2 linked regions of the Oreochromis niloticus genome follow. The protein of the gene in region 1 binds, or shares a complex with, the protein of each later gene. Links are inferred from orthologs where the notes say so. Each region holds a gene or a part of one and is shown on either strand. Other genes may lie near its edges.

What was found.
Region 2: dpm1 (region 1) and dpm3 share a complex: the UniProt entries of both Homo sapiens proteins name them as parts of the dolichol-phosphate mannose (DPM) synthase complex. The link is inferred for Oreochromis niloticus from reciprocal best matches to the Homo sapiens genes DPM1 and DPM3.

The regions. Positions count from the first base shown.
Region 1 is NC_031984.2:31,713,350-31,729,040, reverse strand, and holds dpm1 (dolichol-phosphate mannosyltransferase subunit 1), read right to left. Parts: upstream 6,512-15,691; 5' UTR 6,457-6,511; coding exon 6,326-6,456; intron 6,126-6,325; coding exon 6,026-6,125; intron 5,841-6,025; coding exon 5,807-5,840; intron 5,713-5,806; coding exon 5,636-5,712; intron 5,125-5,635; coding exon 5,099-5,124; intron 4,482-5,098; coding exon 4,386-4,481; intron 4,255-4,385; coding exon 4,186-4,254; intron 4,063-4,185; coding exon 3,948-4,062; intron 1,333-3,947; coding exon 1,228-1,332; 3' UTR 590-1,227; downstream 1-589. Other genes in the region: slc35h1 (solute carrier family 35 member C2), read right to left, coding at 13,997-14,025, 14,534-14,695. UniProt on the Homo sapiens protein: Transfers mannose from GDP-mannose to dolichol monophosphate to form dolichol phosphate mannose (Dol-P-Man) which is the mannosyl donor in pathways leading to N-glycosylation, glycosyl phosphatidylinositol membrane anchoring, and O-mannosylation of proteins; catalytic subunit of the dolichol-phosphate mannose (DPM) synthase complex.
Region 2 is NC_031985.2:17,173,829-17,188,809, reverse strand, and holds dpm3 (dolichol-phosphate mannosyltransferase subunit 3), read right to left. Parts: upstream 5,480-14,981; 5' UTR 5,394-5,479; intron 5,183-5,393; 5' UTR 5,137-5,182; coding exon 4,858-5,136; 3' UTR 3,642-4,857; downstream 1-3,641. UniProt on the Homo sapiens protein: Stabilizer subunit of the dolichol-phosphate mannose (DPM) synthase complex; tethers catalytic subunit DPM1 to the endoplasmic reticulum.

The sequences.
Region 1 (15,691 bases):
CTCTTTAACAGGAACAATTGTATACGGAAATATGGATGATGAGTGTTATGCTTGTAAAACAAAGAAATCAATCCAAAATAATAAAACACAGAATTATTCCTTTACTTGAAATTTAAATAACATAAGGGGAAAAGTTACTCAGTGGCCAAACACCATCTTTGATTAACTCCTCACAAGTTATACATCAGCCTAACCCTCTGAACAGAACACGGTCAGTTACTGTAGGGTGGTCCAGAGTCCAGAACTTAAAGTTTGGATGCAATTACTCCACCTCCCGTTAACTCCGTTGTTCAGGAATTGGTCGCAATTCAGCGGGGGCCCTGCAGAGGGCACTGGCGACATACTCCATAATGAAACAACACTTATGTCCTTGACTTTTTCTTACACTGAAGCTGATTTTGTCCTTATGGTAGCATTCTGCTAATACACGCAGACTTGTCAGCAGACTCCCGTGATAACAGTGGATTCCAAAAGGTTAATGGTGTTGTGATCAAATGCATTTTACAGGAATCTGAAAACCAGTAAAGAATCTATAAATGGAACTTTATCTATTGACTTTTTTTTTTTTTCTTTCAAATATGCAATGAAGAAACGGGAAGAAAAATATTTATTTGTTGAGAATGACAGAGTTAAACTTCCATAAGGGCTGTATGGAGTCACTACTACAACAATCATCAGGAAAAAGCCAATTTACTGAAAGACCTTGGAGGTCAACGTTCTGAGTCCAAAATATCAATAACTAATCATGTTTAATTCAGGCTTTAAACTCCTTAAAGAAAATCAGTAAGAGAAGCTGCCTGCATCCCCAAGGGAAAAAAAATCTCAAGGCCAGTGATAAAAAACAGTTTAATCCTATACAATCAATCATAGGTGGAGCACTTCAGTGTGCACTTTAAGTCATGTGACAGCTTGTTAATGCAGAGTTCAGTCAGCTGTCTGGGCCGGGAATGACGAGACGCTTTGCCAGAAACTGATTAAAGAGGATGATGGGAATGTAAAGCACTATGTTTCTTTTGTATTCTTGAAGGTCTACTGACAGGGACTTCTTTTATATTTACACCTAACAGGGAGAGATGTCTCCCTTGGTATTTGCTGTCGTGCTGCTGTCTGACCACAGGCAAGTGGAGTTTTTTTCCCCTCCTCATTACAATTCTGATAGAACCGTATTAAACACAGTAAGAGGAAGACTATAGGCCTGTGGGTTTTACAAACTGAGTAAATCACTGATCATGTTGTGGCAAAAAGCATGAGCAGTCCCTTGGCGTACGATACAATCTCATTCCCTCCCAGTTTGGACTCTCCATAAACCCGGTCCACAAAGGAAATGGGTACCTGTTGGAAGAACCACAGATTTGTTTTACATGCAGAAATCCATGATTTACTAGTTATGAGAAGAGTTAACATGATTTTAATGTCATAAATAAAAATCAAAGGTAACAGTAAAAGGGTCATTTACTGGATTTTTTTAAAAATAAAACCAGAAAACATTATGCTGCAGGTTCTGTTCAAACACCACAAGAAAATGACCCTCCTGTGCGCCATTTCCTGCCAGGTCTATCCAGGCAGCTGAATCAGAGTATTTGCAGTAGTGTGAACATGTCTGAAGAAGACTCTTCTCTTTTGTTTGCCATTTACAATTAAGGATCTAGTAGCCTAAAGTCCATGGAAAGAGCTCAGACAGCCTCAAATACACCAATTAGCAGTCTACTTTTTAAATGTGGCACTTCAGATTTAAGTATACACTGAATACTTCCTTTAGTTTAAAAGTAGACTTTATTCATATCTAGAAAACTGTCTGTAGGTGGGTTTGACCAGACCCGTTTTACATGTTTAATATAACAAAATAATAACTTCACAAATGTGAAACTGTGTCAAATTGGTAAATATGGATGGCTGAAACTGAACTAAAAGTATTTAAAAAAAAAAAAAGATCTTAACTGAAATAACAATGAAGCTTTCAGAAAAGAAATTACATGAACACTGAGATAATATTTAACTTAACCTAAACTACAGGAAGTGGCTCCATGGTGTAGACATCATGGGTTTGATACCAGAAGGAGGCACAAAGTCAACCTCAAGGAGTGTACAAGTTACTGCACTCCTGAGGGGTGTAATACGAGGCATAAATCAAGTGCTTAGCGAGCTATCTGGAGCTTAAAGCCTGAGGTTTCTGTGTGGCGGAAGTGGATCTCTTTTTACCTGGCTAAATCACCATGGTAACTTATGCTAAACACACAACCTGCTTGGGAGCGGGTTGCGTTCAGGGTTTCGGTTTAAAACTGCCGGAAGTTTTCACAGATTCTATTATTTACGGCATGTTTTAAGTGCAATATAGATCCTGTGCTTGGGTGGCTTCACAGTGTAGCGGTTAACACATTTGTTCAACAGGTGAAAGGTTGAACAAAAGACTCAAATCCCTCTCTCGTTGTGTTAGGAAATAAAACTGCCGAATCACAACGTGCGGCGCTACAAGCTGCAGTGGCTCTTTGTGACAATGGAGGTAGTTATTATGGATATAGAACACATTTCATGTGTGCATGTCATGGGAATGAATTAATGCATGTATTAATCTGGAGTTAAATGTTTTTATATTTGATTCTGATCTACTGCTAACTATTTTACACTAGAATTGCAGCTACAAGAAAACAGAAGTAAACAGCAGCACCGAAGGCTCACTCATCATTAAAATAATTCCCTTAAATTAAAATGTTTATTTTACTGCTCTGTGCACTAAATCCCAAGATTAATGACTTCTACAGCATTAATTATCTGCAACAGTGCTGCAGTTCACTGTTTTATGTTCTTTATAGATTTTAAATTACCAATTTATCATCATCGTCTAATAATGTCTCTCACTGGAGTAGATGTTATTCAAAGGGATCTTTGTAAGCAGAAGAGTCACATGATGTGTCAAACACCTCGTTTTATGTGAGCGTGCTGAAAGCAGTTTTAGATTTTTTTTTCCCCACACTAGTTAACACAATGAAAACTGGCTGTGTTGAACTTGTTTCATAGTACGCCCCTCTGCTGTAGAACTCTGTGCATGCACTTCTATCCACTGTGGAAATCCCTTGGGAAATAATAAATAGCCAAAAGTAATTAACAACAAAAGCACATATAAAATAAAATAAAATAAATAAAGAGGCTTTCTATCACACTTAAAGCATACAAGTAACACAAATAAGTGAGAACACGGTGCTTCCAGCATGTTCAGCAGGAGTACCACAGTCATCTAGCCAGAGAAAAAGAGAGACTGTCATCTGGCTAACCCGCAAATGTCGCTGTATACCTTCTAGCAAGTGTTTGGCTTTTAAGCTACACCTGCTCTAATAGGATATTTAATGCAGATTTTTTGGGGGGGAAATTGCTCCTTTATCCTATATTAAAGTCGCAAACATTCTATGAAATCTATTTCTGTGTGTATATGACCCATATACGCATATTGGTTTTGAAGCTATGTGGTCTGGACACAAACAAAGCTGTGAAATTGCTCTAAAAACTGGTTTTAAATGTGTTAAAGCTTTTTCTGGGAGTTCTTCACTCCTAAAAGTGCTGTAATGAAGCAGAATGCAGTTTGAAAGCTCCTAATAGCAAGCCAAAAACTGTAAAGCATTAAAAAAAAATTAGATACTTATTACCCCTTTTTTAAAAACAAGTCAGCAGCTTCCTGCTCACACAAATCAGACTGATTAAATATGAGAATCAAATGGTTTTCTTGGCCTGCTTTTTCATTTTTCAATTAGCATAAAATCAAGAGGAAAAAAAGCACTCAAAAGAGATGAATGACAAAAATAACACATTTTCTTTTTTCCTCGATTTTAATCCTCAACTAAAAAAATGAAGAGAACGAATGACACACGAATGATTTTTCTCACACTGAACTACCTGAAAATTAAACACATTTAAAAAAAAAAAAAATTATTAAAGCGAGAGAGAGAGAACCTCACCTCTCCGATTGTGTAGTTGAGTTGTCTGGCTCGGACGATCATTTCCATCTGAAAGACGTAGCCTTTGGACACACACTGCTCAACAAGACTCTCCAGCACCTTTTTCTTGTATAGTCTGAAGTCAGTCAGTGGAGGAAAAAAAATAAAATAAACACAGCAGTAGTGAAAGAAAATACAGCTCTAATTGTAACAGTCAGTAGCACTTAATTCACAACATCACAACAGTAACACCATTTACCTGAAGCTGCCTGTGAGATCTGAAGCACCAGGTCTCAACAACACCTGAGCCAAAAAGTTGGCCCCCCGACTGTGAACAAGAGGAGGAAGGGGAGGAGAGAAAAAAAAAAGAAGAAAAAAAATGAAGAAATATAAAACTTCAGCCTCTTGCCTATTAGGTGAGTGGAAACTGATTACAAAGAAGTGTTAACCAGTAGTGACCTGATGAGTTTCCTGCGAAGGTCCCAGCCGTAAACCCCTCCGTTCCCTCGGTATCGAGTACCAGAAACCAAGTCGTAATCGCCTTCCTTCTGCTTCCTGACATAACAAAAAACAAAAGGTATTTGAAATAAAAGGAAAGACACAACTGTCATCCAAGGCAGAGATGCTGAATAAATATTAATCTCCTGGAGCTGATTTAGTATTTGTTAGCTGAAATTTTTGGCTGATACTGAGCTATGACAGACAAACAGTGCTGTGCAGGGTATTTTTTTTCTCTACATGCATCAGGTCATCAAACACATTTTTGTATTTACTCAATTTATGTCTACAGTTACCACAGACTCCCATGTTACTTCAGCTTTGTGATGAAATTCAAAATGCTGCAGCACACAGCTCACTACTACGTCACACCTACATGGATGTCAGTTATTCAGCTGAACCTCTCCATCATGCTTATTGGTGCCTATTGAAGTTGTGCATGCACAATAAAAAAAAAAATCCATGTTTCCTCAAATTTCATCACAGTGTTGTCAGTTCTGTTGCCACAGATTTTCAGTCCACCATACCTCAGCCTTTTTTCCCCTCTTTGCCAATTGCAGATTCTTTCTTTACTCCCTATAAATCACCACTGGCATTGGTCCCTAAAATCCAGCCAAGTAAGTCTGGCTTTACAGAAATAAAAATATAGGAAATGTGAATTCAGAGACACTTACTGAATAAATTCTGGGATAAACTTGGGCTGAAATGGAAAAGAAAAACATTAAGATTATTGCTGACAAGAAATAACAGACAGAGAATCTGTTATACTTAACATTTTAGGCACATTAGAAATGGCAGAATGTATACCAGTAACCTGGTTGTAGCTAAGAACAATTGACGATTTAGGCTTTAGGGCAGCGGTCTCTAACTTAAATGAGCTGTGGGCCACTGCTGGTACTGTCATCTCATTGGAGGGCCACTTTAGTGTTCAAGTAGTATAATAACAAACAAACAAACAAAGTAGGGGTGATGTGGGCCGCAAGTGGCTCCCGGGCCGCGAGTTTGAGACCCCTGCTTTAGGGAATATTAACGAATTGTCAGCTGATCTAAAAGAAGGAACTGTTGATATATGATTAACCACTTAATCAGAAAGATAACCTGAAGAGTGGATACTGAGACTGTAAGTTACACATGTAAAATTTTACCACTTACTGTTGTCAAGCCATTAAAAGACGAACACAGACAGAATGACTGAAACATGCTCCACTCACATGATGGGAAAGATCTGCATCCATTATGATGATGAAGTTCCCAGAAGCATGCTTCATGCCGTGGATATAGGCAGTGCCTTTGAAAGAAAACAGCAGGACAAACACTCTGATGAGCAGATGACAAAATTTACTAGAGCTTACACACTCATTCTGGCACAGTTTAATACTTACCTAAGCCTAATTTTTTCGCTCTTGGTCGTAGCAGCTGAAACACACACAAAATAGTTTAAGTAAATCCTTTGGCATGGACAGTAAATACTATGGCAAATACTTCCCAAGCAAAACAACGTTATGACACATTAAATGCGCTCTTATTTCATAAATACTTTCGTGATGTACTGTTGGTACTTCTTAAAGTAACATATCTATCTTTACTGCTTTAAAACTTACGATCTTGTCCTCCCCATAGACTTTCTGAAGCTGCTCTGCCACCTCCAGTGTTCCATCTGGGCTTCCGTCATCAATAACAATTATCTCGTAGTTAAAACCACTGTAAATAAGGCAAATGAAATATAAGAATACGGCAGCAATAAGTAAGCTTAATATTACCCTTACAGCTCTTATATTCTTGAAATCCTACACTGACCCCTTGAAGTCGAGCTACTGACACTTGTTTAGTGACAGCTCATCATTGACTTCCACCGTTAGCTAGCACGAGCGGAGAGCCTTTGCTAACTCCCAGTAACTCACCTTTCCCCGAAATACTTGACAAGCAGCCACACTATTAAAGGCAGATTTTCTCTTTCGTTGTAGGTGGGTAATAGTACTGAGTATTTGTCCCCGCTGTCTCGGTTTGGCCGCGACGTTTTCCTGCTTGCCATGGCGACGTTGAGCTTCTGCTCCTTCTTCCTTATATTATTTATAGGTGGTTAGCAAACAGCAAAATGGTGCATTACCGCCACCAACTGGTGTGGAGTGTGGACCTAAATGTCAAAAAACGCGACGTTAATCTACTGCAGGTTTTTTTTAAGATCTTTATTTAAAGATTAGTACAATACAAAGTAAAATTAAACAGTATTACATTAAAGGTTTTGTACGTCCAGAAATTGTGTACCAGAAACAAACAAACAAACAAGCATTAGCCAGAACATACAATACACATACGCCAGGGGGAGAAGTTTATCTAATTAAGCCAGAGAATAAAGTGATTGAAGGATCTTCATTTTTTTCACATACAACCATAGTTTTTTTTTATAGCTTTAGTGAACAGGGTCAGTACATTTCTGCAGGTACACTGCTTAAAAAGCAGCACGCGACATCCTGCTTCGTCTTCTTCTATCTATTTATGGCAGATGGCAAACAACTTCAGGTGCATTACCGCCACCAACTGGTGTGGAGTGTGGACCTAAATGTCAAAAAACGCGACGTTAATCTACTGCAGGTTTTTTTTAAGATCTTTATTTAAAGATTAGTACAATACAAAGTAAAATTAAACAGTATTACATTAAAGGTTTTGTACGTCCAGAAATTGTGTACCAGAAACAAACAAACAAACAAGCATTAGCCAGAACATACAATACACATACGCCAGGGGGAGAAGTTTATCTAATTAAGCCAGAGAATAAAGTGATTGAAGGATCTTCATTTTTTTCACATACAACCATAGTTTTTTTTTATAGCTTTAGTGAACAGGGTCAGTACATTTCTGCAGGTACACTGCTTAAAAAGCAGCACGCGACATCCTGCTTCGTCTTCTTCTATCTATTTATGGCAGATGGCAAACAACTTCAGGTGCTTTACTGCCACCATCTGGACTGGAGTGTGGATCGGAACCGCATTTGCAGCTTTAAGTGTTTACATTTGTCAGCCAAGGTTTTCTACAAGATTTTTTTAACATGTCTTTGGATTTTTTTTTTCTTTTTTTTTTTACCCATTCATCCAGAAGAGCATTTGATATGTAAGACACCAATGTTGGACGTTTGCAATCTCCATTCTGGTTCATCACAATGGTGCTTGATGGAGTTAAGATCAGGGCTCAAAGCAAGCCACTCTGCTTCTATGGCAAACACATTCAATCATGTCTTTATGGACCATGTTTGTACATTAGGCCACAGTCATGTTGGAAGAGAAAAAGACCCTCCCAGAACTGTTCTCACAATGTTTTAAGCAGACTGGTCCAAAATGTCTCGGTAACCTGAAGCGTTATCTGGAAAATAGACCTAATTACATCAAAAATATAATTTCAGCGACACAAGTGACAAAGACTTGTATATAAACTGTGCCAATCAACGGGCATAGTTGTAGTTCTTCGAGGTTTGTGATTCAGGAATCGGATTCAATTCCTGCCTTGGGTTGTCAGCTGTAGGACGGCCTCATACCACTCTAATTAGCTTCATTGTGTAGCTAGACAATAATAAAAATAGGAAAGTTATCGTTATATAGCTTTCATTCTGAAGAGCATATGGCTATGGATACTAGTGACTATAAGTAGCCAAGGATTATGGGCAACGCTGTGTTCTGTGCTCCCGTAACTTGTTAATTGACAGCTTCCAGTCAGTGGGTCCTTTGTTCTCTGATGCTTACATCTTCAAGCGCCATAACCAAGGTTCTATATTAAAATGGTGGCTTTTCATTGGCGTTAACTTTAGACATCACATTTATAAGGCTCTTTAAAAACGTCATTTATTAAACTTTTCTCTTACCTGAAATCAACAGGCTATCTTAATTCAATGCAGATTATCACAAATTTCACACAGTATATCAATATTCTATGTGTTTCTTTTATGAGCTGTATCTTAACCATGTAGCTATCGAAATTGTGTTTTAATGACATTGTAGGTACGAATAACAACAAAAATGATAATATTTGGCAATTTTTTTATTATGAAAGATAACAAAATTGAAATACAAAACATTTATATGTCAAACAGGGAACAAAGCTGTGTGCTGTTGTAATGGACATGGAACTGAAGTTGAAAAGCTTAACATAAGAAAACGCTGGGAAACAAACAAACAAACAAAAAACCTCACTTTATACTTTCCATATTTATTGATTGATCCGGAGCGAGTCCTTTGTCTCCCAGGAAACTCTTCACCACTGAAAACAGAATGGGGAAAAATGAAGTTCCCCTCAAAGACAGAACATAACAAAACATGTCTTTTAATTTTTCCCACAGTCAAAGCACATGCCTGCTTGCTTGCTTGGAAAATGGATGTGAGGTAGAGAAAATGCCCAAAGTGTATAGAATAAATGTGATTACATTTGATCTGTACTCTAATATGCATATGGGTATTACATCTATATCTTCCCATACATATCCCATGGGCATTGGTTTAAAGTTGTCATTGTTTTAGCATATTTTTCTGTAGAAACTGCCTGATGTTTTATTCTAAAATGCATAACTGATACAAATTATGTCGCTGACAAACAGACAAGACAAAAGGAAGCTTGTTGGCAGTTTTCTGTGCATTCTATGTATTTTCTCACTCTTTCTTCTTTTGCACTCCTGATTGGGAAAGTCTCTAGTGAGGTGTGGTAGGAGCACTCTGTGAAAAAACATCTATCCCATTTTATGGAAAAGGAGCAAAATATATTTAGCAGACACATATGGCTTGGGAAATTTGGACAGTAAAGGGTTTAAATTGTATCGAGATTATTCCGATCCTATGACGTGATGGCTGGAAATATGCACAGAAATGTTGAGCCAAAGATACAAAGCACAATAGATAGATTGCCTTTGGACCCCTCATGCAAAGGCAGCCTGTCACAACATGCTCCATTAGGAGATGGACCCCAGAAAAGGAGGATGCTCTGAGAGACTGCTATGACACCACAGACTGGGATGTGCTTCTGATCCCACATGATGAGGACATAGAGGAGGCGACACACTGTCATACATAGGTATATATTTTATTTTCAATACCGAACTGTCATAAAACATATAAGTACATATAGAAATAATAATCTTTTCCTATTTCTTTTTTATAGCATACACAAAACATAAATGAGATGAATACCTAAATACATGAATACCCCCCACTCCCTCCCAATAATGAAAAAATAAATATTTTGCAGAGAAAATGAGTTGACCCATCAATAAATAAATAAATAAATAAATAAATAAATAATAATAATAATTAAAAAAAATCAACAATAAAATATTAATGCATTTCCTTATAGTTTAATATTAACATTAACATCTGGTAGCCTCCTAAAATAAGGTCTTAACATTAATCAATATTGATATAAATCTTATCCAACAATAGTAACAATATTTGTGTTAATGGTTACTTGCTCCTCGTCGAAACCAATTAATAATGCTGGAATATCTTTAAATAGAGTATTTTTATAAGGTAGATCAGCCACTGCCAGGAATAGCAGAAAAATTTGTACATCATCATATGGTGGATTACAGAGAGATTTCTCGTGCTGGTACCTTTTCTAAGTATTTAAGTAATGGTTTCCAGTAAGTAAAAAATCTATCCGATGAGCCTCTGATGGAGAATTTTATCTTCTTCAATTTTAAGAGTCCTAAGATATCCTGTAGCCAGACTTTAATTAATGGTGGCTGAGATGATTTCCACAACAACAAAATTCTTTTTCTAGCAATGAGAGAAGCAAAGGCAATAAGGTTATTCTGAATAGCTGTAGTTTGAAGGTTATTTGGTGGTTTGCCAAATATAGCGATATGTGGAGTCGGAGTCAATTTTATATTCAATATATCCGAGATTATTTTGAAGAATTGATGCCAAAATTCGCACTGTCATACAAATTATCTCAATTTTTGTGTGGATGCGGTCGCCCCTGCTAAGGTGGTACGGTGTTATCCTAATAACAAACAGTGGGTAACACAGGAAGTCAAAGCTGTCCTCAACATGAAGAAGAAGGCCTTCAGGAGCAAAGTGAAAGAGGAGATGAAGCACAGTAGGAGGTGAAACACTGCCTGAGGGAAGCAAAAGACTCCTATAGGAGGAAGGTGGAGCAGAAGATGGAGAGGAACAATATGAGGGAAGTCTGGGATGGTGTAAAAATCATCACAGGCCACAACACCAAGAACAACACAGTGGGGGGGACTGTGGAGAAGGCAAACAAACTCAAGCGGCTCTTTCTCAACCTCCTCCGACCACAGGTACAACATGCCCAGGACCCACTACAGTTCGGCTACAAGGCGGATGTTGGAGTGGAAGATGCTATTCTGTACCTCCTACACAGAGCCCACTCACACCTGGACAAGGGAAAAGGCACGGCCAGGATCCTGTTTCTTGACTTTGAGTGCCTTTAACACAATCAGGCCCTGTCTGCTCCAGGAAAAACTGAACAGGATACAGGTAGACACCTGCCTGGTTGCTTGGATTGCCAACTACCTCACCAACAGACCACAGTACGTCAGGCTGAAGGACATCACAGCAGAGGAGCACCACAGGGAACTGTGCTGTCCCCTCTTCTCTTCACCCTGTACACCTCTGAATCCTGCCATATTCAGAAGTTTGCGGACGACACAGCCACCATGGGGTGTATTTGGGATGATCAGGAAGAGTACAGGAGGCTGGCGAGGAATTTTGTTACATGGAGTCACACAAACCACCTGCAACTCAACACCTCAAAGACCAAGGCAACTGGTTGTGGACTTGGGGAGGTCCAGACCAGGTCCACTGCCAGTTCAGATAGAGGGAGAGGAGATGGAGGTGGTCAACAAGTACAAGTACCTGGGGCTGTGTGTGGACAACAAACTGGACTGGTCATGCAACATGCACCACCTGCATAAAAAAGGCCAAAGCAGACTGTACTTCCTCAGGATACTGAGGTCTTTCAACATCTGCACGAAGCTCCTGAGGTTGTTTTACCAGTTGGTGGTTGCCAAAGTACTATTCTATGCTGTGGTGTGCTGGGGGAGCAGCACAGCAAAGAAGGACTCATCCAGGAAAAACTAATCAGCAAGGCTGGCTCTGTGGTCGGCATAAAGCTAGATACTCCGGTGACAGTGGCAGAGAAGAGGACATTAAAGATGGCTTATGTGAAAATGGGAGAAGGGTTGATGATTGAATTTCTGTTTTTACAGTAAAATGGTCTTCTAACAGGTAAACATAAGAAAATATTTTTTTTTACACCAAAAACATAAATCATAACTTTAAAAATGCAGGATCTGAATCTTACCTTCACAACAATACTGATAACATCACCCCATCTTCTGAAAGGGTTCCTTGACAAAGGCTGTTAGTCTGCAGCCAGGGGTTAATATTTCACATCGGATTTCTCCTTTTTTGCTCTTCTTCGCACAAAGCAGCACTGCTTTTTCAAGCTGCAATAAAACATAATATTTATTTGGTCAATATAGTAATATTGACCAGCAAAATTGACAGCATCGAAGTTAAAGCCACTCAGGGTGATCTTTACCTAGTGGTGAGTTTAGCTTTTTGTACTTGCTGTGTTCATTTTCTTCTCTTAAAAGAAGCACAGGAGAACGACTGTCTTTTAAAAGATTTCATTCACTGTAGCAGTTGAAATTACAAGTTACAGCACGCTGGACCTTGATGTGAATCAGCGGTCTGCTTCACAAAAAGGATGGCCCTGTAAGCGGGCAATACAGTTTTACACCACAACAAAAACAAGTATTATTATGACTATCTTCTTCTGGGAAGCAACCTGGCCAGAACAATACACAAAATAATACAGAAACAATTCAACAATCAGACAAACAAATACAACTGAGACTTTTTTCTCAGAATTCTGGAAAAGAAGAAAAAAAACATGTGCCCACTTTTTTTCCCCCCAGTGGCCCTAATCCTCTTCCGTAGTAAACAGACCTCATCACAGAAATGATGAATTAAATCATCAATCGGACGGATTTTTTTCATAATAATAAATGGGTGTCTGTGATGACGCGTCTTTTACAGGCTAATCAATTCACAAATATTCAGCAGACTATTCCACAATAAAATCGAACTACAGCTTTAATATCCTGCTTGTACATGAATGCAATAGCAATAATGATCAAATAACATGACAAAGTCAAAAGGGACATTTTTGGGGGGCACTTTTAAGAGTGTAAGTGCATTTCTAAATATATTTCAGCACTTTCACTAACTACTTAAAAGTAAGATCAGTAACAGAGAGTTTATTTTCTGCAGTGTGGTGCAAAGTATTTGAAGGGAACAAGAGTTTCCCCACTTCGGTCCAAATGACCTGCCTTTATTTTAGCAAATACGCTAGGATTACTGCAGCCCCAGGGAGCGAGACTACTACAGCAGGCAATTTGACAACAACATTTTGCTTGTCACATACAGGTTGGCTGTGCTCTGCAAAATAGACCCCACTGATCTCCTCAAGATGGTTCCAATGAAGAACTATGACACTGTCATGTAATTTTTTTCACCCTTCTAGCAGTCTTTAATCAATAGCATTTCATTACATTATGACTTTATTTTCACTGACACAATGCAAAATTGGCTATGCAGTTTGCGTTGTTGGGTGCTTTTAAGGACCAGCCTTGAATTTCATAGATTTGATAAGTGAAGACTGGATATTTAGTGACGAGAGCTGGGATAATCTGCAGGCTACATCTGCAAATCAGAAATGGCTTTAGATTTGACGCTGGCAGACAGGCATGCATGTCTCAGGGTGATTACATACTAACACATTGTGATTAATTACACACATTTTTATACATTTTATTAACAAGATTAAAAAAAACATAGAAAAACCATCCAAAAACATACACCATAAGAAATATTATCCTACACTGTTTTTCTCTTTCTTTTATACACAAACAAATTCTTGTCATCAAAGCTTTGGAAATCATTAAATGTAAACACGAATAAGCAATTAGAATTCATACAGTTTAAAATAAACATGGATATCCAGATACAGTTAATACAATTAACAATACAACAATTATCATACACGTGGAAAGAAACATTCTCACAGCATCATTTATACCATGGAAGAAAAAGAAGCTTTTCCACCATGGATTATGCAATTTCATTCTTCTTGAGGCAGTTAAGGTTAGAATGGCAAATGAAATACACAGAAAATAACATATGCAGCTAAACTATTTGGCATTGATACAGTGCATGAATACAGAAACACGGCAACAAAGGTTTCAGTGCGAATACATTGTTTAAGGCAACACTTTACAGATTCCACTGGGAAAAGATCTCTTATGAAGCCATCCATCAACTGGTAGGTTTTGTATGAGAAAGCTTCCTAATTGTTCTTAAGTGAATAATTTCTTAGCTGATTTGAAACATGAGTGAAGATTTTAATAAGAGAAGAGAAAGACAATCTTCCCTTACTATTTTCCTTTTCAATGCAGCAAACCTCTTCAAACCGCCAATGTCAGTCTTTTGCTCACTTCCAAATGAACCCGTCATTTCCTACAGATGTCAGTCACCTTACCACTGCCTCCTGCATGTTTTCTCCACTCAAGGCTGGTAGTCATCATAAGAGTCTTCTGTGTGAAGAAAGAAACTTGAAAAGGATGCTGAATAAGTGAAAATTATGTCTAAGTTACCCAATTCTTTCAAATGAGAAGTGCTTTGCATGACTCACAGTTGAACACAGTCCACAGTGATTTAGTAACGTGCAGCTACTAAAACAAGCTGGTTTACTTCATCTCCTTTTAAGTCAACCCATTCTTTAAACCATCTATCTTCTGATTGGCTGCCCCTCATAAACGTAAGGTGTGGACAGCAGATTGGGACTTCAGCACTCTCAGCCAAAATTGCCATATTACCATAAAAGAAACACTCAACAACAACAACAATAAAAAAACACACACCAGAATTTGAGAATAGAAATCCTGCCTACTGCAGCTCTCCCCTTACACCAGACAAACATAGATACATGCATGTACTTACACATGTACTTCATTAGTTAAAACGAAACAAAAATCAGGCCTGGATCCTCATACTCATATTCCCAGGGTTGCATGATTAGTACGCCTTTCTCTAGCTGCTAACCTGTTTGCTGGGGAATCATGCGGCAGCCTCCGCTGTTGTCACAAACACCCGGTGGTCCAATCTCGCCCGGCTGACCCGGTGTTCCGGAGATCCCAGATGGCCCCGGCTTACCATTTTCCCCTTTGGGACCTGGGATTCCCAGCTTAGACTCACCAGGAGGTCCTGTGGACACACATTTTAAAACAGTAATACCACATTTTATTTTAGGTGCTTATCAAAACACTCAAGATACGGGACAGTCAAAAACAAGGAGTTTATCATTATTCATTATTAGCACATATAGCAACGGCTGCTTTTCCAAACAGCTGAATTATTCTACTGGTTCGCCACAGGGTTGTTGTCTCTCCCCTTTACTATATATCTGTACACTAACGACTGTTGCACTACACAGGTTAACAGGCATTTCATTAAATATGCAGTTGACACAGTCATTGTAAGCCTCCTTCGTGGTGAAGAGGATTCCCGTTGGCCTGTTGTGGATGAGTTTGCTTCTTGGTGTGATCAGTCATTCTTAAAGATCAACACTTTGAAAACTAAGGACATGGTAACTGACTTCAGGAATCCTTCTCCCCATTCTGCACTGACAGTAGTAAATGGTGCAGCCATTGAACTGGTGGACAGTTACAAGTATTTGGGGGTTGTTCGTTATAAGGCTCTGTCCTTTGAGTCACATCTTGCTGCTGTAGTGAAAAAGGATCAACAACGACTGTACTTTTTAAGGAGAGGTTTTAACGTTTCATCTGAAATGATGACCCTTTTTTTATAAAGGTTTTATTGAATCTGTTTTAATGTTCTGTATCATTGCTTGGTATGGTAATGTGCCTTTGAACAATAAGACCAGCTATCTGGGTAAAGTGGCTGATCAGATTTCAGAGAGGCCTCAGGTCCAGCTTGCGGACTTTTATAACAGGCAGGTGCTGAGGAAGGCAACCTCTGTCATCTTGTGTTCAGACCATACTCTCTAATACAGCAATATAAAGTGCTTGCAGTAAAGACCAAGAGACAGAGTGTCTTTTGTACCTGCTGCTATTATCATGGATAATAACACTAAACATAAGGGTTGTTGCCTTTACACATTGCACTTTGTTGACGACAAAATTTGGGCTGTTCTCTCTGGGCTTTTTAAAAAAATGTATTTATTTATTTTTGTGTGTGTGT
Region 2 (14,981 bases), on another chromosome or scaffold:
TTTATCAATTTATCTTCGACAGAGTCAGGACTTGCCAGCAGTGTGCAACCCTAAAACCTGGGTGGAGGCTGTAGAGGACACAATTCAGAGCAGGCTTGGCATGGCCAGCTGGTCTGTCTCTGCATATCTGGGCTGAGTCGAGCCTCCTATCAGCAGGACACACGATGATCCGTCCCTGTCTGCCTGCTAGCGTATGTTACTTCTAACAAGAGCCAGGAGTATCTAGCTTACAGGACCTCTGGGAGGTTACCTAATGTTATTGTAGCTATTTGCAGCATTTATAGGCATTCACACTGCCCTAGATTGGCAACCCAGTGTCCTGTAAGTATCAAAGCAGCAGTGAAAGAACAGTAAGCTGACCCATGAGTGACTTTTTAAGCAGTGTTCACCTCCTTTTATGCAGTAATGATGCACTTTATATTAGGATTAAATGTATTTTTAATGCAGCAGCACTGTTTAAAGTGCCCTTTATGCTCTTTTCTGCTTTAGTGCCTGCAAAAGCATTAGCAGGGTGAGACTGATAGGGCCGATAAGGAGAAAACACCTTGGTTACACAGAACAAGATGGCGTCTCAGGACCAGTTGAGACACGTTTTGGTCCCCTGCCATCAGCAGCGGTTGGGGTGTGGTCTTCTCTTCCCGAAAAACCCTGTCATACACTCTCTGTCACCACTGCCAGGGTCATCTGTTTTGTTCCAGCTCATGCTTTGGTTTCCTGTCGGTGTCACTTAGTCATTTTCACCCATTTTTATTCATTCGTACTTTCACACATCTTTTGTTCTGCGCTTTTAATTCACTCGCGCTCTCTGTATCTATCTCCTGTTTCAATTTGTCCCCAAGTGACTCTCGTCCCATTATTACCGCTCCTCACAGTTTCTGTATCTGTATCAAATGTATCAAATCTCCATCTTTTTCAGCTCTGAGCCCTCAATAACTCCATTTCCATCTCTCTTTCTGTCCGTCTCTAGATGGGTTTGAGGTTTTGCTGTGAAATGTGTGGGTGGGGAAAAAAAAGAAGTCTTTTCTGTGCAGAAAAATGATAACCTATCATTTTTCAGTCTTGGTTCTCAGCCTGTCGAAATGGATTTGCTCCCAGCAGTGTCACAGAGTGTCTCTAGAAATGTTTTTTATAGTGTCTCAAGGTCTCAGTGGGGCCATGCTGTGGGCACAACCCCGTGGCCTGGCCCCCTCTCACCGTCTGCCTCAGTCCCCATTAGGTTTCCTCCAATTTTTTTGGCTCCTCACACAATTTGGTCGATGCTTTTCACCTTGCTGCTTTGGAGCAGAAGGTGAAGAACAGTCTGTGCACTTTTGTCATCTTTCCCAGCCTCTCTTACTGTCAGACATACCAATTATGAAAAGCTGGAAAGCGGCTCTCTTACCCCAAAGATCACCTGCACAAAAACCGCAACAAAAGGATTTGAAGTTTTCCACTTATTCACTTTACAACACAGAGAGATTTTAGTTGACTTTGACACATGAACAAGTCTACGGAATGATCCACTTTGTATTACGAGACTGAATAGCTACTTTAAATATTGCATGGCAAACCGGCTTCGTATCTTCAATGTGAAAGAGAACAGAATCTCGAATCTGAATTTCTAATACTGCAGATCAAATTGAGGTCTTAAAGAGATCTGCTAATGTAGGTGATACAATGATCATAGGGCTGTGCAAAGCTTTGATTTCCTTAACAATAAAGGTAAAATATGTAAGCAGTCCGGTTACGCCTACATTTTTATTTACCATAGCCATGTTTATATTGCTAGTAGCCCTGCATGGAAAAGGCATGTGGTGATGAGACAAAGCTGTATATTATTAAGAAACATATCATGACTATCTACATGTAAAAGAATGGAGATGCTGTCTGTTTGCTGTTTGCCTTGTAAAATGCAATCTTAGAGTCCTACTGCCAACCGCACAGTGCTGAGAAGTTTTCCAGTGAAGTAAAATTCTTTGTACATTTTATATTTGTATCACTGATACCTAAGGTAGTACATCCCCACCACAGCAGTTTGCCCTACTGTTGTCTCCCTGCTAATTCAAAATTTTGGCAGATCTTGAGCGTTGTTATTTTCATGACACATTAATTGTCACCCGTGTTTGTTTCCCCTGGTGCACATACAGTATACCTGCACAGCAAGCCAGGAAATTGAGCAAAGAATAAAATGAAATGTAGTTCTACAGAAAAAAGAACCTGCCTTTCCTATTTTTTAAATCGTTCTTCGAGAAAAGCTAACGGTGGAGGAACAATAATGGAACTCGAGTCACAACTTCAGACTAGCGACAGAGGATAATCAGCTCTCGATTTCATTTTTTCCCCCTCCAGTCATCTGGCAGCTGCAGAGCCCAGGTAACAATTTAAGGCCTGTTACTGCTGCTCCTCTAAAATGCACTGCCTAATAACAGCTCTCAAAGTTGACAAAGCTGAATCTTTAAGAAGTCAATTGAAATGCAAAGGAAGCTCTCCACATATTTCTCACGAGAGGAGCGAAGCTCTCACCTCTAAGCCAAAAAGAGTATGCAGACAGACAAAATGAATTACTGTGCAATCATTATTATAGATTTTGCACAGTGTGTCATGTTACTTTACTCTATCAGGTGCATCCTCTCCTGTGAATACTGCCACTTAAGCACCAAACAGCAGCGGTTTTGATGGCAATCACTTCACATTTAGGACAAATGAATTGCACAGAGATGTTTTAAAAGAGCATTAAAGTATTTTATGTCATTCGGGGTGGCTTTCATAAACATCTCTATCTCTGAATCAGATTACACCTACATAGATTTGCTGTTACGTAAACGCAAAAGTCAGGAATGGAGCTTATCTTCTGCATGTTTTAAAGAAGGGATAAAACGGCACAAAACACTCTGCGCTGTTCACCTATCTAACATCTCTGGCCTATTCCGAGGTATACTTTCATCCCAACAACCCACGTCTTCAAAGTTGGATTTGGGGAGAGTGAAAACAAAGGAAAGTGATCAACTACTGTACATGTGGCTACGAGTAAGAACATAACGGCATACAGAGGGAAGCCTTTGGTGTATTTGCCAAAGTAGAAGATTTTCTGGTAAATGAGAGGTTTGTCTTTCATCCAGTCTGCTCCAGCAACAGCTTGCAGACATTCATGGGGGGTGACGTTGCAAGGCATGATGGGGCTGCAGCCAAACAGCACAACGGGCAGAGCCTGCACAGAGAGAACTGCCAACTCTTTTGCATTTGTTCAGAAGTTATGGGAGCTTTTGAAGCACTATAATGATGCCTTTGGCCAGGCTACGCTTTGTTTATGCGCAGCAGGCACTCACTGGAAATGAGCAGAGGCAGCCTTTTTAAAGCTTTCACAAAAGAACTGCAACTGCCAAAATCACATTTACTTCAGAACTACAGACTTAGCTTACTTTTTTTTTTTTTCTCTCCAATTTATGAACCAAACTTCTGTGTGGGAAGACGTGGAACTGCTGTGTAGCGTATAGTTCGTCATTAACAACGACAGACAGATACAGATCAGCCTTTCACACAGAGGGAGGCATTGAACAGTTGATATAAGCCCCCAGGCAGGAATTCATCATACACAAAAGCACTCATGCATATACTCATTCAAACCAACAAAGACACATTTCTATACTAAAAAAAAAAAAAAATGAGGAAAATAGATTTAATGAATTCTCAGCGTTACCTTCAGGGTACAACTCTCAAACTGGACAATGGAATGTACATTCCTTTACAGATAAAATCTAATCCACCTACAGCGACAAGCAACAATCTCCAGACGAACACAACAAGGTCCAGCATGTGCTGCGCTACTCTGGAGCCGAGGCTGATTGAAAGCATCTGAGATTTCCCAGTGGAAGCGGTCTTTAATCAGATTGGTGCAATGCGAGCGTTTGTTGGCATTACAGTGAACAGCAACTGTGTACAGATGATAATTTAGCATAAAGAGTAACATGAAAGCAACTGTATGGAGTTAACAGCCAAAGACACCACCATGTGTGTTCACTGGACTTTCTTTCTGGTGTAAGATGTGCTAATCAGTCAAACCACATTACACAAACAGATTAGAGCAAAAATGATGCTGGATATAAACTCTGCTACAAAACCCTTTCCCCCTCCGTTCTTGACATTTATGAGTTAACCAGAAAAACATTCATTAAACCATTCATTTCTCGGGCTTCAGCCACAGTAATGCATTTTAATTTAAAGAGCTTTGACTTTGACTGAATAAGCAGTTTTAGAGATGATCTACGTCTACATTAAGTGCCAATTACACACGCTGGGCAAGGGTACCAATCAGAAGGGTGAAATTACTACAGAGGAATAACAGCAATGACATAAAGAAAGCCCAAAGATTGCTTTAGTTGGACCTACAATCAGGTGTAAGTGTGACTGAATATAATGCAAAAGCATAAGAAAGCCAGGTATTATCCATCAAAGGCAGAAGCCGTGGCTTTGGAGAACAGAGTCAAGCTTTGACATGTTTTGGCTTAACTTTTGTGGCCCAATCAGAAAGCAACTGCTGGCTTTTGCGTCATCACTTCCAAAATGTTTCTGCATGTCCTGCAGTTTTTAACTAAGAGTCCTGCGATGCTGAGGTAATGTGGATTGGCTTAGTAAAAGTTATACATTTCGAAATTTAAAAAACAAAAAATGTATCAGTGTGGCTCTTTCCTCATTTTCTGAAACATACTGGATAAACAGCCAATTGATAAAACACAGTCGTGAATGAGACTCCTGATGTTCAGGAAGATGTCTCCAAAACAAGACCCTTTTTTTCAGGAATACACACTATGTGCATAAGACAATAGTCCGTGCTTTTCTCCTCTCAGTCCCAGAAGTTTACACATAGTGCCCTTTTAATCTCTACATTTTTAAACCTTTTCTCCTTAAGTCCTCTTTGGCTTCTTTTATTTGCTCCTGTAGCTCTTTCGCCGCCTCCTCACAGTCATTGAAGGTGGCCACCCTGTATCCCACAGTGGCCAGAGAGTAGCAGCCAAATGAAATCAGCAGGTAGAAAGGCATCGGCCAGGCGACCTCTCTGTAAGTCTGCGGGAGGCTCAGGTCCAACAGGTCAAAAGTGACCAAAGCCCAGAGTGCGCCCAGCAGCGACACACCGAACAGCCACTGCAGAAGTTTGGTCATGATGAAAGCTGCCGACGGGATTTCAGGGGAGCAGCCACAGAACAACCTGACAGGGAAAGCACTGGATTAGCTTAGCTTTAGCACACTGTAAATGCAACATGTTAGCCGTTTTGGCTACAACGCGCGCGAGAGACAAACAGCAGTTGGATAATTAGAATAGAAACAGCCATAAAAACGCAACAGACTTAATAACAATTCATCATTCATTTCGACCTTTAAAGCATTAAATCTTTTCAAAAATATTCCGATTTGTTTACCTCTTCTCAAACGCCACCTCAGCTATGCGCACATTAATGACGTTAAAAGGCCGCGGTGCCTTATGGGAAATGGAGTTAATGACGGAAATGGCTCTGGGTTTCTAACAGAGGGTGAGTTTTTATCTGGACTTTTTTAAAATAAATATAACATTTTTGTAACATTTTGATTAAACTTTTCTTAATTTATATTTATACGTTTTATTATGCACAGCACTGTGCATAATAAACCCCTCATTCACCCCTCATTTCTTTAGATTTTCTTTCCAAGGAGCCAGACATCCCTATAATTATTTTTAAAGTGGTCTTAAGTAATACTTCTTAACGCTTTCTGAAAGTCTTTCAGACTTTTCCCAATCATTCTACCTAACCAGGATTTTTTTTCAGCTCTGAGCCCGAATGACCTAACAAAGACTTGGCACCTAACTCAAGGAATGAGACACGGGTGTGTCTACACAGACAACATAGTAACAAGTTGGGTTTTTTTTTTTTTTTTACTTTTTATTAGCAGCCTATCACAAAAACACATTTGTGTCCATTTCTTTATTTCAGTCTATGAAAAAAATTCTTGAAGAAGGGAAACAAGGAGAAAAGACTGAGGTGTAACAAATTACTCAATAACTGGGCTGAAAATCAGTGGCAACAGGTCTGACTGAGTGATGAATCCAGATTTGACATTTATGGTTTAAATCACCATCAGTATGTAATGACGAGGTTGGGGGATAGGTACAATAGTGAGTGTCTACAGCCATCTGTAAAACACAGTGGAGGCTCTGTCATGGTTTGGGGCTCCATTTCAGCCAGTGGGGTTGGAGATCTTCTCAAAATTGATGAAATTATGAATGCAGAAATGTACCAGATTTTGGTACTCCATTTTTGAGCATGGGAATGATCCCAAACACGTTGCCAATGCAGTAAAAGCATACCTGGAGAGAAAACACACACAATGGAACAATATGAGTCATGGATTGGCCTCCCCAGAGTCGGGACCTCAATATTATTAAAGCAGTGTGGGATCATCTTGACAAAAAACAGAAGAAAAGGCAGCCAACATCCAAAGAAAAGTATTGGATGTCCTTCAGGAAGCCTGGAGAACACTTCCTGAAGACTACAAGAAAGTTTGCCGAAGAGAGATCAGGCTGTGACAAAGAATAAAGGTGGTCATATATTGACGTTTAAGCCCATGTTTTTGCTATATAAACTGCATATTTATTTGAATGTTTTAATAAATTGCTGCACTTATTTCCCATTTTCCTAGCAAAATATAAAGACACGAGGAGCAGCTGAAGACTTTTGAGCAGTACTATATATTTTTATTAAATCTCATATCAAACTAATACCAAAAGACAATTTAAGTTTTAAATAATATTTTTATACAAACATTGCTCCTTTTTGTTGTATCTGTATGCATTCCACCATCTAACAATCAATACACTGTCATTTTAATGATTTATAAAATCCTTATTATATTCTATAATTGCTTTCTTGTTGTAGTTATCGAACGGTACAGAAGAAGTAAGAAGACAGTGTTTGGGAAGATTAAATAGAACAGCTCCCCGTGTTTTTTGCACGTCTCAATAAATCTTAATGTTGTCGCTGTCTTTTCGCTTTTCATTAAAACACTTCACTAAACTGCTGTCTGATTTATTAACAACACCAGTACCCTGTCAGCTGAGAGAAAGCAAACACTTTGTCAAGCGAGTCTTTAATGAGGCCCCCAGTCAGGCTTTTAACACACATTAGACCTCTAACTTACATTAGACCTCTAACTCTGCCTCTGTGTCATCCTCTTAATTTAGAAAAGCCATTTTGAAAATTAGATTACCATTAGCACCACCTAAAAGCTATCCATAAATACTAATGCTTTTTTTTTTTTTCCAAAGCGAGGAATCCAACAACAATTTAATTAGGGGCCACCGGGAACTCACAGTCATTTGATCTCAGTTTCTCCTCGGGTGCTCTGGGGCATATCTGTTCAGCTGGGGTGATGAACTGTCCAGGTGCATGGGACAACAGATCTCTCCAGGGTAAAGTCACCGGTGGGAGATGTAAACATTATTCACGCAGCTGTAAAAAAGGGAACACACCGAAGAGCAGCTGAGAAATAAACATCATTCTTTGGGGAAAAATGGAAGTTATTCTTAGGATGGTGGTGTTTATGTTTATCCGCATTAGTGTTAATAGTGTGAGTGACAATCTGTGCATGTGCCAGAGGGCTAGATCCTGTTTCTTCTGCTAATGGAGACTGCAATATGGAAGACTTGAGGCTAGTCGGGTTTTATGTCTGCGTGTTGCAAAACATTTGAAATGTAACAAGTTTGTATTTTCAAGGATACTTTATCTTGAGAATGACTCGGTGACTTTGTAAAACCACCCTCGCTTCTGTTATTACATGGCCTACATGTTTATTGCTTGTGACTGTCATAAAAAGGAGCTGCAGCACAAGTAGGGGTGAATGATGCAACTCCATTATGTTTTATTAGCTTTTTAATGGTTCAATAATCAGGATCATGAGCCCACAAAGAAAGCTTCACAAAAGTCTCAGAGTTACTGATTCTGAACAATTCAGTGACATATGGGAAAAGCCACATCTGGAAGATTTAAAATATATCTTTAGTAATTAGCTGATTATAAAACTTAACACATGACTTCCTGTGCCCACTAAGTGCCACTGGAGAACACCCAGTAATCATAAGTCATGTTGCTGTAGAGCTTAAAGTGAAAATATTGCTAATATCTAACAATGTTTATGATGGTAATGCTACTTTCCTGTCACCGCTAGGTGGTGCTATGTCTGTAAGTCAGTGTCAATGACTAAATAAAAGAATCGACCAATGATTATGACAATGAGTGTTTTCTGCAGTCACTGGTCAATACTGACATGTAGATGTTTCCAGACCTGGACTCTGTCAAACTTGTGAAGCTTGGGACAGATGAGTTAGAAGAACAGATGAGTGAGGAAACATCAAAATTCCTCATGTCACCCTTTAACAAGAACTCAAAAGCATTACAACTTAGCATCACCAAAGTCTGATGACTAAACTGATCAAATATCATATCAATCTTAATAAATCTGTTGGAGGAGTCAGTATCCATGACTGAGAAGTGTGAAAGCAAAGTCAGGACTCTTATCAAACATGCAAAGTTTAGATTTATCTTGAAGGTCTTTTAAATGAAGTCATTGCAAAATTGCCTTAAAACTGCATTCTATCTTGAGTCCAGCAGATGGTGAAAGCTGTGGTTGCAAAGACTTCCCATCCTGCTTCATAAAAAACAGCCTTCTGACTTCACATGTGTAAACAGTTTCCTGCTGTGCTCAGTCAATCGTTTTGGGCCATACTGGATAAAGTCTAAGTAAATCTAACTTGTAAATCTTAGTCACACTACCTGCCAACATGGAGAAACTGCACATTCATTGGATACAAGTTGTTAATCGCAAGTCATTAGCCAATAGGCAATGTTGTGGTAGCTATATGTCCATCTTTATTGCTGTCTATGGGTCAGACTTGTATATTTGGGTTATTGACATATCAAAACTGGCCATGTCACTAGGGTACCGCCGTTTGATGAAAACTGACAGTTTTCACAATAAAGCAACATCAGCTCCTCAATAGTTTTCAAATTTCATGTGGTTCTGGTCAACCAACTTGGAGAAGCACATCAACATATAAAACAGATCATTTTCTGTTGTCACTATGTGACACTATAACCATCATTAAAACAAAAATGTAGAGGTCCTTAGGGCTGGTTTTCCTGTTGAACACGAGACGTTTGGGCCACTCTGGATAATGTATGTGTTATTTACAACAACTTAAAGTTTCATGGCAACTGATCGAAATTCACCATCACACCACGGGCACGGCCTTCAATGAAAACTCAAAAGCTTCGCATCTTATCATGGGCAAGTTCAGACTTAAGAATTATGGAGGCAACCTGATATGGAGATGATCTGGAAAACTCATGTTTCGGTTCTCAAAAATGAGATCTATTTGGGTAAATAATAAAAAAGAAGCAGACAGGGTCTGCGCACCGTCAGTCTTTGGAGTTTAATCCTGTTTTTGCATTTGGCCCTGCACTTGTTACTGTTAAGCAGACATGACATGATACACACCAGACTACCAAGGTCAAGTTTCTCCATCGCCATGATAAAGTGAATCCTGGTGGAATTACCCATGACATGCCACATCATTACATACATCATAGCGTGTGCCGTGTCCTGCCTGGAATACAGTGGTATGGGCAGCGCTGTGAGCGCGTGTGACTCTCAGTGGGAACGGTCGAGCTGGCTTTTCTCAGTGTATCTCCCTGCCAGCTCCTGTTCCGTTCCAGTACTCAGGAAACCTGTCCTCCAATCGAGCAGGCCTGGCAGACACAACACAACAGCCTGCGAGAAGGAGGGGCATGAAAACTGAGAGAATGAGAGGGAGATACTGAAACTGGAAAAAAAGAAACAGAGTGGGATATGCAGAATAAAGCAAAAAATAAAAATATAGGAAGACAGGGGGTGTGTAGTGAAAGAGTTATTTTTGTAAAAGAACCAGAAAGAAGGGGTGGGTGGGGGCTTTCGAAGCTGATAGGACAGGAGAGGACCAGACACAGAAAGCTGAGAGGACCACAAATAAAAAAGAAAGGGCTGACAAAGTATGTGAAAGAAAGAGGAGAGGGCAACAGAAAAAATAAGGGGAGGGAGGGAGCAGACAAGGGGAAAAGCTTTAGACAGGGGGGGTGAAATCAGGAGATTTGCAGGTGCAGCTTGAACAACCAATGACCTTAATGGTGCATTAAATCCAGCTGTTGCTTATCCAGACTTTCCTCAATCCCTCTAACACCTTCAGCGGCACAAAAACCTGCATGAGGCATCTCAGTTCCCACAATGGGGAGTGAATATATATATATAGCAGTGCAAGTAAAAGGAATGAGAAACAAAAGCATAAAGATGGTGTGTGACAGGGATTGGTAGAGATGGTGATTGTTGAGGAGATACTTGATCTTTAAGAGCAGAAACTGCAGTGATTGTGTGACTCCAGCCAGAAAGCAAGGATAAGGCCCATAGATAAAACAGGAACAGTGGTAATGGAGCGTTGTGTTGACTCTATCTCCTTGACTTTGTCAATATTAGCCGAGTGAAAGGTCCAGATAAGAATGTGTGCTACTACAAAGCTATATAAGGATCTAGATTGGCTAGATAGTAATTGTGTAATATCTCAAGTGTGTGAAGCAAGCTGGGTAGATTAAAAAAAAAAAAAACGCAAAAAAAAAAGGCAGAAGGAGAGAGGAGGGGGTGAGTGTGTGTGGACTGTCAAAATGCTGTTTAAGATAACAATAGAGCCTGGATTCAAAAACAGGAAGCCTCTGTTTCCTGAGCTGGAGACTGTAGCTGTGTGTAATGTTGTCATTAGATGTGAGTGTTGATGTGCTTGAGAAAAAGCAAAGAGTGACCTACAGTCCAGTCCAGGTTCCATGCAGAGATTTTTTTTTTTGGGTTGGTGTAAGAACAAGAAGAAGTGATACGTGTCTGGGAATCCAAACAAGGGGTAAAACAAGATGAAATCTCTCCAGCTCAGGATTTTTTCCATGAAAACGTGGGTTGGAAAACATCAACTTAAAAATCAGTACAGCCTGGCTGGAAAATGCTAAACCAATTAGCAAAGGCTTAGAGCTCATCAACCTCAGATTTACTGATGAAAGATGAAGAATCATCGGAAAAAGCATGGCCCATTTCTCTTTAAACCTATTCAGGAACTAATTTAATTGCAATATTCATTAAAAACTTTTACAGTGCATTCACTAGAAATGGAAAATTGTGAAGTGTATTTACGTTTTTAGTAATAAAACTGAATTGCCTTTTTTTAATCTACTCTTTTACTTAAGTGTTTAAATGTAATTTATGTCAGTGCCACAGCCTTGATGTGATGTCTAGGGGAACACTGGGAGTTACTGGAAATATGGGACCAAGCGCAACAAGGGGAAAAAACAGCGGAAACACTCTTAAGTGTATTAAAGTATGTCATTTATTTACAGTGAGATAATTAACAAAGACAAACCAAGTGCGAAAAACAAAAGGAAGCAGATAAGTTTCAGAGTCTTCCAAGGCCAAAGAAATAAAAGGAAAAGAAAACCCACAACGCCTAGGGAAACAAAACTCAGTTGGTCTATGGAATCAAATTGTTTCCGATGTTACCACAAAAACATGAGAAGAGGAAAGCAAGAAACAGATTGCCACCCATGAGTTATCAAGTATTCCGGGGTCATAACAGGATACTTATCAACAAGCTCAACAATAGATGACACTCTGAGGATGAGTGGGACATGATGTCCAGCCCCAATGATGGTCTGATGACCTTTAGGCGTGGCTGACAACCCCGAAACACAATGAGAGCAACATCGCTCGTCCAAAGAGAGGTCAGAAAAAGTGTTGTCCTTGAGGGTAACACTTTGAGTATTAAACTTTAGATGTCAGAAGTCTCATGAACAAAAAAGTAACAAAATTAAATGCTAAATGGCTAAATGCTAAAATGCTTACAGCGGAACCTCCAACTCCATATTCGATGTTCAGTGAGGAGCACCGCCATAATCCTCTCTTTTGAAAGATTTTGAGAGGCACGGAGAGATAGAATAGACTTGTTATATTTTAAACTGACAATAAATGAACTGAAATGACCTGAAAGAAGAATCAGATGAAGAACAATTTTTTAGCTAGGTCTTCCTGCCACTAACTGTCACTGTTACCTGTCACCACAACCTGAAGCTTTAATGTCTTTGTTTTCAGTCACATTTTTAGGCAGATATGTGTTAGATCAAGTTTCAAGTGTTAATTTTTTACATCATGAATAATGGTTTCAAGTCTCAGTGCAACAAGGTGTGTGTTATCCCAATAACACCATTAGGTCAGGCCTGTGTTGATGTGTCCTTAAACAAAGCTACTTCTCAGTTGTCTCCTTTGTTTTCGGCTTCAAATGGCACCTTTGTGCCCAGATGGATCATAACGAGTGAAGCTGAGTTTGTCTGCTAACTTTAAAGTTTAAGAAGAGGCTCTTCAGACAGTTGAGGTGGCCATGAATCAAAGTAGGGGCATCAGGGTGGAGGACCCGGCTACTCTTCTCATCGGGGGTCCTGGACTTAAAGTGGGACTCCTGAAGGTTTTGACATTGATAAGCACACAGCTCATAAATACCCTTGAGCCGCGATCATTTACGGACAGCCAGCGCCTGTATTAAATTGCAGACATAATAGTTGTGAGATCCCTACGCTACTTAGGGCCCGCTTAATGAAGTCTCGGGCTACTCCGTTGGGTGTAAGGTCAGAGTGTGGTCAAGTGTGACCATCCTTAACCATGTGAGACCAGCACTTGCCCTCGGTGGCCCGAGTAAAGAGACACACCTGTTTCAGCTGCTGCTGTGATGGCAGCAGTGAAACAGTGGAGGAATGTGGCCCCCACCCTTCACCCTTCACCCTCCACCTCCCACGCCCCCCATTCCCTCTTCTCCTCTCTCTCCACGCTATCAATGCTGTCCTAATGAATCTCATCACACAGCCTGCGTTTGTCCCACTAGTGCTTTGTTTGTTGACCTTTATAAGACGTCATTACTTGTTATCTTCACGTGTAATTCTGCCCCATAACACAACCCCTTCAGCCACATTCATAGGCCACAATATGTGTGTGTGTGTGTGTGTGTCAATGTGTGTGTGTGTGTGTGTGTGAGTGTCTGATCAAATGCTTCTTGTCAGTGTAACAGCCATTAACAATGAACAACGGGCATAAGCTTGATGATGTCTCCCTCCTCCCTCCATCCATTCTCTCCTCTCACCCTGAAACACAATGTCCTTTAGGATTACCGTTATTGACAGTGGAACTAATTGGCACATGGCTATGAAAGTTCCCCCACCCACCCCCCGGCCATTTTAAATTGGACTGCACAATTTCCTTCAACATCTGATAGGCAAGTATGCCCACAGGACCCGAGGAGGTATTGATTATAAATGTATTAATGTGGGTCAGTGCTGTGCACACAGCAAGGGGCGGATGATGGAGAGCTGCATGTCTAGACTGGAATAAACTGACCTCGTCTTGTGTTTACATAATTGATGGTAATGGCAGGAAGGGGGAATTCTGTCTAGTAGTCCGATCTGCTCACTACATTCTTTTCCCTTGAAAGAGGTGATGCAAACAGCTCTTTGGGAGATGCTACTGTATTGCTAAATGAAATGCAGCTATAGACCATTAGGAAGACAAAGCGCATTGATTTTAGTGTAGACATGGCAAACTTTATTTCACTGATGTATTAAGGAGGCCTGGGATAAACTGAAACAAGCATTAAATAGGCAGATCTGCCAAACTGAACATCAAGTTAAAGACAAAAAACTAATTACGCCCAGTCGATGGATGCAAGCATCACTGACTGCATTCAAGATATCGCTTTCGGTGTCTCATTATGCAGAGAATGACCTTTCTTGTTTCTTTACTTGCTTTGCATGAGTGGGGAAATCGCATAGATTTGGTCATCCAAGCACAAATCCATATGTTATTGATTTACTCTACAAACTAATTATGCATTTATAGCGGCTACAGAGTTAAGCTATTGCGCAGTACGCCAAATATAATCAGCGCCGGGCGCTTGAAAGGTGAAGTAAATCATTTATTTCACATTTACAGGTCAGTTTTGCAATTGAAACCACACAAAGAAACGCTATTGTTGATGCCGCTGGTGACTGCCATTGACCTTATGTTGAAATGCTACAGGTCAAGGATTGGAGGACTATGGATTTGGGGCGGGAAGCGGCAGCTCAATGAGGCCACCACATCAGACAGGCTGTCTGTCTGTCATTACCCATAAATGAAGTTGATTGGGTCAGACTGCTGCTCTGCAGTCATGCCCATCTTGACACAAGCCATATTGCCCTGCCACCCCTCTCAACCCAAAGATCACAACTGCTCAACCTCACAGAAATCTGACCCCGAGGCTCCTCCCTGCTCCTTAAGGCACCTGCCAACTTTTCACCCCTTCACTGGGTGAGCATCTGGAAGGTGATGAGGCACAGACACGAAGGCCAGGGTGGGCTGTTGCAGGGTGGTAACAGATAGGCCTAAGGAGTCATTAGACTTCAGAAAGCTGGTCCTATTTGTTTTCACAGATTAAATACCTACTCGCCCTTCTCTATTACATGTTTTGAGTGTGTCTGTTGGTATTACTTCCCACGTCTCCTTCTTTTTGTGTTTTTTTCCCCTTCATGTCCATCTTTCTTTAACAGTGCACACACAGATCAGACAGGTTATGATGTATGCACAGCTGGTCTTGACAGAGCCGTCCAGGAAACGTGTGGTTTACAGATCCCCTGTTGACACGCTGATTTGACTTGCCTTTTTCCTTTTCAGAAACCCGGAATTTTTACTGTGCAGGGGACATTGAGGTCCGACTCAGCATGTTTGACCACGGTGGAAAACCAATCTCAGTGTGCTGCATCCTGACTGACTGACTGATTTACTGAGTGGATATGTCACAGTGCATACTGTAAAGCTCAATCCAAAATCTTGATTTCTTACCACACATGCACTGGCCCCACACCTGCTCACACCATTTGTTACAAAGATTC